Linked DNA regions of Danio rerio. The protein of the gene in region 1 purifies or fractionates together with the protein of each later gene. This does not show direct contact. Links are inferred from orthologs where the notes say so. Each region holds a gene or a part of one and is shown on either strand. Other genes may lie near its edges. The genes, in order: card11 and malt1.

Region 1 (3,830 bases):
GGCCGGCAGTGTTCTTGCTGTGGGGCTCGCAGTGCTAACCACTGGGCCGCCGTGCCGCCCAATCAGAGGTAAAGGAGGAGAATAGGGGAGGAGGGGGGTTTCTTCCAAAACAAAGATAAAATGAGCTAAAAACTGTGGTTATTTATAGTAGCTTAGGGCTCATATGATTGGAAGATAGCGATTAGCAAATACGGGACCGGCCGTTATAAAAAAATTTTCTCCGTGTGCTCTGGTTTCCCCCACAGTCCAAAGACATGCGGTACAGGTGAATTGGGTAAGCTAAATTGTCCGTTAGTGTATAAGTGTCCGGAGTGTGAATGAGTGTGTATAAATGTTTCCCAGAAATGGGTTGCAGCTGGAAGGGCATCTGCTGCGTAAAACATGTGCTGTATAAGTTGGCAGGTCATTCCGCTTTGGCGACCCCATATTAATAAAGGGACTTAGCCGAAAAGAAAATGTATGAATATTTCAGTTAGCAATTTATTGTTTAACATGACTTATAGACATTGCACACACAGCGCACGGCATGTATTTGAGCGTCTCTCGAAAACTGACAACTCACCTGCACCCTCAACGGCTAGCAGTCATTGACTTGCATTGTATGAATCGCCAACGATCAAAAATGATTCTTCAACATTCTGTTGAAGAAAACCCTACATTTTGAAAGTCCAATTGGTGGGTAAATTTATAGCAGTTTGTAATTTGTAGACAAACTATCATTTTAAAGAGACTGACCATGTGAAAGAGATCCTAATACTTTGTATTGTTTAATTAATTAACATTTAAAACATGAATTGTCCATTTAAAGATGATTTATTTGTATAAAGTGTATGTATTAATTACTAAACTGATAAACTGCTTCTTCAATTTATTTTTGAAGGGTCACTCTTAGTTTTCCATGCAGCAGATGCATAAAACAAACAGAATAAATTAAAGTCATTTTGTCATTATAGGATAAAAAGAATAAAACAGTGAGTTTCTGCCAAAGAACTAAAGTCATCAAAATAAGTAAATTATGACAGACTTTCTAGGTTCTATAAGTTACCAAAGAGTATAAGTCTATAAGTTACTGTCCCTGTAATTGCCTTTCAGTTTGTGCAGAATCAGTTTACCCTTATCTATGAATGTGAAACCCAAAACAAGATGCATTTCCCCAACAATCCATAAGGAACTGACCCGGATCACTCTCAGAGTGTCGACATCTTCTCGGCCTCCTCGACACATCAGCTTCTGAATCTTCACCAAGAGGAGCTGCTGGGCTCTGGGGAGGAGGTGACAGCTAAGTTCACTTAACAGCTTCTCGTCACAGTCAACAGACATAAAAAAATGCACACCCACGCGCTCACCAACACACTGACAGGCAATCTGCAGCAGGCAATAGACCAGTGTTCACACTTGGTTTGAAAACCGACACAATAATGGTCACTCATTTCTTCCTCACCTTGAGTAACTCGGTATGGTGCCTTTGTCCAGGTCCTTGTCTGTGAAAGGGTCGACACGGGCACACAGCCATTCGCATTTGTCTTGATGCATGGTGTCCAGAACATGGAGAACCTCGTCACATCTGACATTCAGCGAGCAGTTATCAGACTGGCTGGAGATGTTCAGATTGAGACGTATGTAGAAGGAGTCTCCAGATACCACTGTGCCGTCTTCAATATCCTTCACCAGCCGCCTGTAGCCTGGAAACGAGAAAGCGGAGGGTCAAAGCAAAGCAACCTATACTTATCATGACAAACTATATATAATGTGCGTCGTACATCATTTTCCAACCCAGGCTCATTGGAGATACGTGGCCAGGGTTACATATTTAAGAACTGTGAAATATGTGCCCGAGGCAATATATGCTTAAGGTTTTTGTCTTCACAAAATCACAAGAGGTTGCAGTGTACATATTTGACGTTATACAAGTGTACAAATACGTTACTTGTGCACGTTTTCTCAAACACACCATTTTTCATTAATCCACTAGAGGCCGCCAGGTACATATTTCACAATCTTAAATACTTTGCCGGGGCAAATTTTCTCATCCACCAGAGGCCGCTGTGTACATTGGTGCATATCTCAACGTCCTGCTCATGACCGTCTGTAAAAAGAAGCCAGTAGGCCTGTTGTGTGTGTATCAGCTTGCAATCAACTAAACCTCCCACCTTCCCCTTCCCTAAACGCAACCGTTTGTTTTTTTTAAAGAAAACTAGAAGAGAAAAGCCATCACAAACGCATGCTTTTACCACTATTTCACATTATTGTCACTTTTTTTTTCTTTTTACCTGTAACCATTCTTAACGGGACTCGAGGCTGACGCCTTATGTGGCAAAGCGGTCACGCCGAAAAATAAAGAGGCAAGCGGACAGCGGTATAGTGCAAAAAGCAACAGAATTTTTCAGAAGTGTCATTCAACCATCTACTTTTTGTTTTACATACAAAACGCAACCATACGTAGGCCCATGCACATATTTTGCAGTTCTCAAATATGCAGTCCTGGGCACATACTCCCAATGAGCCTGTGTTGCAATTTTTAAGAGTGAACTCAACAATTGGGGTTACAGTTAAAAGGCTAAATATAATGTTTGAATGTATTTGTTTACTACTTGCAGTTTAGTTTAATACATGCAAACTAGAGCATGTGTGAGACTCATGCTGTCTCAACTTATGCTGTCTTACTATTTGAGCACATGCACTTTGTTTAAGCAGCTGATTTGAGAGGTACTTCACCACTACTTTGCTCTGTTATGTGAGATTATTGTTTAATCATATACACAGAAATCACAGCATCTTCATAACAGACCATCACAGTTAAATTCTGGTTTAGTTTTTGTTAGTTAGTTAGTTGGTTGGTTGGTTGGTTGGTTGGTTGGTTGGTTGGTTGGTTGGTTGGTTGGTTGGTTGGTTGGTTGGTTGGTTGGTTGGTTGGTTGGTTGGTTGGTTGGTTGGTTGGTTGGTTGGTTGGTTAGTTAGTTAGTTAGTTAGTTAGTTTTTTTCAGATTATTTAGAAATAAATGTAAAACAGTTATTAAAATGCACATCTTGGTAAACTCTTAATGGGTTGTTCTTAAATTTAATGTTTTATAATTTCTGGATGTGCTTTTGGATTACAAGGAAGAAAAAAAACTGAATCATAAATCATTTAACCATAAAAATCTGAATTTCACAAATAATTAAATAACATTTGAGAAAAACTAAAATAGATTTCATCTAAATATCATGGTGTGTGATGGATAAACAGTTTGTGTTCATACCAAACAGAGCAGCACATTTGATTCAGATAGAGCCATAAGCCAAAAAGACCAAAGCCTCATGTTTCTTTGGAGTCTGAATGCATTATTTGGCTCCTACCAGGACTGTTTCAAAGTATTCAACTCCTCTAACCTCCCCTATCTGCAAATAAATCTTTTTAAAATCTTCTATTTAAGAGTTATTTAAGACTCACTGTCATAGCTGGATTTGTAATGAAGATGCACTTGTCCAGAACATCTCTGCAGGGTCCAGTGGGCTTCTTCTTTAGTGCTGGTGTCTAAAGACACACTCTCTGCTTTTCCATGAACATTTCCCTCCAGCTAGAGGACAAATTAAACCAAAAGGTTAATTCTACTTCTACTACCTCAATAGGTGTTTTGGTTGCAAACACAAACAGGATTTCTAGTAAATCTCACCATTAAAAGATGAAATCCGACTTTAACTCCAGCCAGATCTGCATCAGAGCCAGACTGGACAGAGTTCACGAAGATGCCACTATCATTTCCACCAATCAGAGTGATTTCAGACAAAAGGTTTTCTCCAGAGAGAGAAAGGCTCTGAACCGTTCGCAATGAGTTTCGTGGAGGGCCTGA
Region 2 (4,548 bases), on another chromosome or scaffold:
CTCTTGCAAGCCATCTCTCCTGCAGTCATACCAACACTGACTCACATAATTAACACATCTCTTGACTCTGGTTTATTCCCCACTTCATTTAAGCAGGCTAGGGTAACCCCACTGCTAAAGAAACCCAACCTGGACCATACGCTACTTGAAAACTACAGACCAGTATCCCTGCTTCCATTCATGGCCAAGATTCTGGAGAAAGTAGTGTTCAATCAAGTCCTCTTACTCAAAACAATCTCATGGACAACAAGCAATCCGGCTTAAAGAAAGGCCACTCAACTGAGACTGCCCTGCTCTCGGTCGTGGAGAATCTCACACTGGCTAAAGCAGACTCTAAATCATCAGTCCTCATTTTGCTGGATTTGTCAGCTGCTTTTGACACTGTCAACCACCAGATCCTGCTATCTACGCTCGAGTCACTGGGCGTTGCGGGCACTGTTATACAATGGTTCAGATCTTACCTCTCTGACAGGTCATTCAGGGTGTCTTGGAGGGGAGAGGTGTCCAACCTACAGCATCTAAACACTGGGGTACCTCAAGGCTCTGTTCTTGGGCCACTTCTTGATTTAATTTTAATTTAAAATTTAACAGCAAATGAATATATATATATATATATATATATATATATATATATATATATATATATATATATATATATATATATATATATATATATATGTGTATATATATATATGTATGTATATATATATATATATATATATATATATATATATATATATATATATATATATATATATATATATATATATATATATATATATATCTGATTTTATTCAGTGGATGTTTTCATCCCGAACAATCCCGAACATAACAAAAGGCAAAAGGAAAGTAAATTTGCCCAGAGTGTATCTTTGAGTTTTTTTGTTTTAAATTTTAATTATTTTCACAAAATATAGTATATTTCAAAATAAGATTTGCCACCAAAAAACATTCTGCTAGCTGAAACAGACAAAGTTATGGCCAAATTAATACTTGAAATCTCCTCAGAGTGGATGAAAACATCCCCAACAGCACACACAGTAAGGGTTATTGCAGAAAATATACATACATATGTAGTCTTTAAGTAAAAATGTTAAAAGATGAGCAGATATGAATTAATATTAATTCCATTCAATATATTAATTAATGCTTTTCTCATTGTTTCTAGCCTACATCTCTTTTTCTGGTACAATGAAGAGAGGTTTCCCTTGTAAACTGGCATCCATGAATGTGTATTTTCCTCACACAATAACGAAATAAAGTTCATAAAAAAACCATCATCCTTTAAAGATAAATAAACAACCCCAAATCACATGTTTGTGAAGAGCGAGTTTGACTGAAACACTTCCGTTTAAGCACTGCGAGCTGCTCAGGAGTAGTGTACTCATGATGAGATGAACACCTTCCCCTTTGTCAGACACCAGGAAGTGATGCGAACACACACACACACACACACACACACACACACACACACACACACACACACACACGTACTTTTGGATTTCCCCGCATCAGTCGGATTCATGTATCGTTTAATAATGGGATACATGACAACACATAATCCGTGTACGGTATGTCAATGTTTATACTGCGTGTTTTTCAAGCCTTCTGTTTTGTGTTTGGTGAATTCCGATATGTTGTTTGGCTACTTTTGAAACATGAACGTTTAGTCCAGTTCATACATTTCATAATCTTAAAATCTAACTTAGAAGTGCTAAATACTTTATTAAACAATAATTTTTTACCAATATTCGCTTGCTGACTAGACAAAGCGCGATGGAAAAAGTGAAATTAGCGATTGTACAAGTTGTTGACGTACCAAAGGATGACAATACTGCTTTGTTTTTCGTCTTCATTTTTAAAGTCGTCTTGCCGTTCACACTCGTCTTACTTTACTTCTTCTGTGGATCATAAAGGAAAATATTAAGTCTTCTTTCACTTTTAGATGATTCTGAATACTTTGGATGACATTTCATTCATTTGAATTGTTCACGGAAATAAATTAAGGAACTGGAACAACATGAAGGAGCAAATTATTACAGGGATTTAATTTTGAAGAAAATGTCTTTGATATGATCTCTAATCTGAATTTAAAGATATTAAACTAGTGTGTCTAATGTAGACAGGTGTATACACTTACCGGCCACTTTATTAGGTACACCCGTCCAACTGATCGCTAACGCAAATTTCTAATCAGCCAATCGCATGGCAGCAATTCAATGCATTTAGGCATGTAGACATGGTCAAGACGATCTGCTGCAGTTCGAACCGAGCATCAGAATGAGGAAGAAGGGTGATTTAAGTGATTTTGATGGTGGCATGGTTTTTGGTGCCAGAACGGCTGATCTGAGTATTTCAGAAACTGCTGATCAACTGGGATTTTCATGCACAACCATCTCCAGGGTTTACAGAGAATGGTCCGAAAAAGAGAAAATATCCAGTTTGTGGCAGTTCTGTGGTCACAAGTGCCTTGTTGATGCCAGAGGTCAGGGGAGAACGGCCAGACTGGTTCCAGCTGATAGAAAGGCAACAGTAGCTCAAACAACCACTCGTTACAACCGAGGTCTGCAGAAGAGCATCTCTGAACGCACAACATGACTAACCTTGAGGCGGATGGGCTACAGCAGCAGAAGACCACACCGGGTGCCGCTCCTGTCAGCTAAGAACAGGAAACTGAGGCTACAATTCACACAGGCGCACCAAAATTGAACAATTGGAGAAATGTTGCCTGGTCTGAAGATTGTCAATTTCAGCTGCCACATTCGGATGATCGGGTCAGAATTTGGCATCAACAACATGAAAGTATGATTCCATCCTGCCTTGAATCAGTGAATTAGGCTGGTGGTGGTGGTTTGATGGTGTGGGGGATATTTACTTGGCACACTGTGGGCCCATTAGGACCAATTGAGCATCGTGTCAACACCACAGCCTACCTGAGCATTGTTGCTGATCATGTCCATCCCTTTATGACCAAAGTGTACTCATATTCTGATGGCTACTTCCAGCAGGATAATGCACCATTTTTTTTTGTCAGGCATAATTAGATCAAGGGTTATTTGATGGTGACATTTTGTAATACTTTTAATACAATTTAGTATGATCACTCATCATTTTATATATCTTGAGAAGTGCAGGTCAGAATAAATAGTTAATTCGCTTTTGTAAATCACTTTTGTAAATGCCACAACAGTTGATATCTCATTTATTACATTTATAATACAAATATTTTCAGAATATTCATGTATTTTAATATGTTATATATTCATATTCTAGTGGTGTTAAATAAATATTCTTATATTTCTTATATGATGTATACACTGCTAATAATGTCATGTTGATTTTCCGTTTGGCAGGTGCTTTGCTGACTACTTAAGCAGTTCAGCAGGTCAAACCAATCACAGCGGTGCATCTGCCTTATTCTCAAACATGTCGGAATCGAATGAAAGCTCTTTGAACATAAATTTCTTGAAAGAATCTGTATTAAAAAGGCTCTGTGAGTCTCTTGATAAAGCCAACAATAAAGGATGGCGAAAACTGGGGGAGATTGTGAAAAATGACAAGCGGTTTAAAGTGAGGTAACAGCTCTATTGTTCTCTCTTCACTTTACCTCCTAATGTAATATCCACTTTGAAACTTACATTTCGTAATGCTTTCTGAATTCACTCATATGCACAGTCTCGAAGACATGGACATGTGTTCTCTGAAGGCTTTGAAGGCAGATGGTAGTCCTTCCCGAACTCTTCTCAAACTCATCGGAGATCAGGGCTGTATCCAGGAAGAACTGATGGAGTTTCTACAGATCATGGGTCACACAGAGGCCCTGCAGTGTCTTAAACCTCCAGGTACAGTTACCTTAATAGTGTAAACATAGTAGGCAGAGTTTTTATGTTGTGCAATGCTGTATTACATTATCTTTTGTCTTGCTTATCCAAATTTACATGTCGCAATTCCGTGTTAGATCTAGCGATTCAGAGATAGATCATGCAATTCTGAGTTTTGATCTTGCGATTCTGAGATAAGATCTTGTCGTTCCGAGTTTAGATCTTATGATTCTAAGATTACATGTTGAGATTCCAAGTTTTATCTTGCGATTCTGAGATTAGATCTCGCTATTATAAGTTTTACATGTTGCAGTTCTAAGTCAAGATCTTGAGACTTTGAGTTTAGGTCTTGCTATTTCTAGTTGAATCTTGCAATTCCGAGATTAAATCTTGCTGTTCCGAATTTAGATCTCACCACTTCGAGATTGGATCTTGTGATTCCAAGTTATATCTAGGAATTCTGAGTTGAGGTTTTGCAATTTGCGGTTTAAGATCTTGCCGTTTCGAGTCTAGGTCTTGTGAGTTCGATATTACATTTTGCCATTCCGAGATTAGATTTTACAATTCCGAGTTTAGATTTTGCTATTCCAAGTTTAGATCTTGTGAGTCTGAGATTGCATATTGAGATCCCGAGTTAGATCTTGCAATTCCAAGTTTGCATCTTACAATTCTGAGCTGGAATGTGATTCTGAGTTTAGGTCTTGCTATTTTGAGTTAGGTCTTACCA

What was found.
Region 2: the proteins of card11 (region 1) and malt1 purify together in Homo sapiens (affinity purification with western blotting; 6 studies listed by BioGRID and IntAct, with this or other methods). This does not show direct contact. The link is inferred for Danio rerio from reciprocal best matches to the Homo sapiens genes CARD11 and MALT1.

What each region holds. Positions count from the first base shown.
Region 1 is NC_133178.1:40,619,235-40,623,064, reverse strand, and holds part of card11 (caspase recruitment domain-containing protein 11), read right to left. Parts: coding exon 3,654-3,830; intron 3,558-3,653; coding exon 3,431-3,557; intron 1,683-3,430; coding exon 1,442-1,682; intron 1,262-1,441; coding exon 1,177-1,261; intron 1-1,176. UniProt on the Homo sapiens protein: Adapter protein that plays a key role in adaptive immune response by transducing the activation of NF-kappa-B downstream of T-cell receptor (TCR) and B-cell receptor (BCR) engagement.
Region 2 is NC_133180.1:72,224,531-72,229,078, forward strand, and holds the start of malt1 (mucosa-associated lymphoid tissue lymphoma translocation protein 1), read left to right. Parts: upstream 1-1,486; 5' UTR 1,487-1,571; intron 1,572-3,353; 5' UTR 3,354-3,426; coding exon 3,427-3,575; intron 3,576-3,675; coding exon 3,676-3,842; intron 3,843-4,548. UniProt on the Homo sapiens protein: Protease that enhances BCL10-induced activation: acts via formation of CBM complexes that channel adaptive and innate immune signaling downstream of CARD domain-containing proteins (CARD9, CARD11 and CARD14) to activate NF-kappa-B and MAP kinase p38 pathways which stimulate expression of genes encoding pro-inflammatory cytokines and chemokines.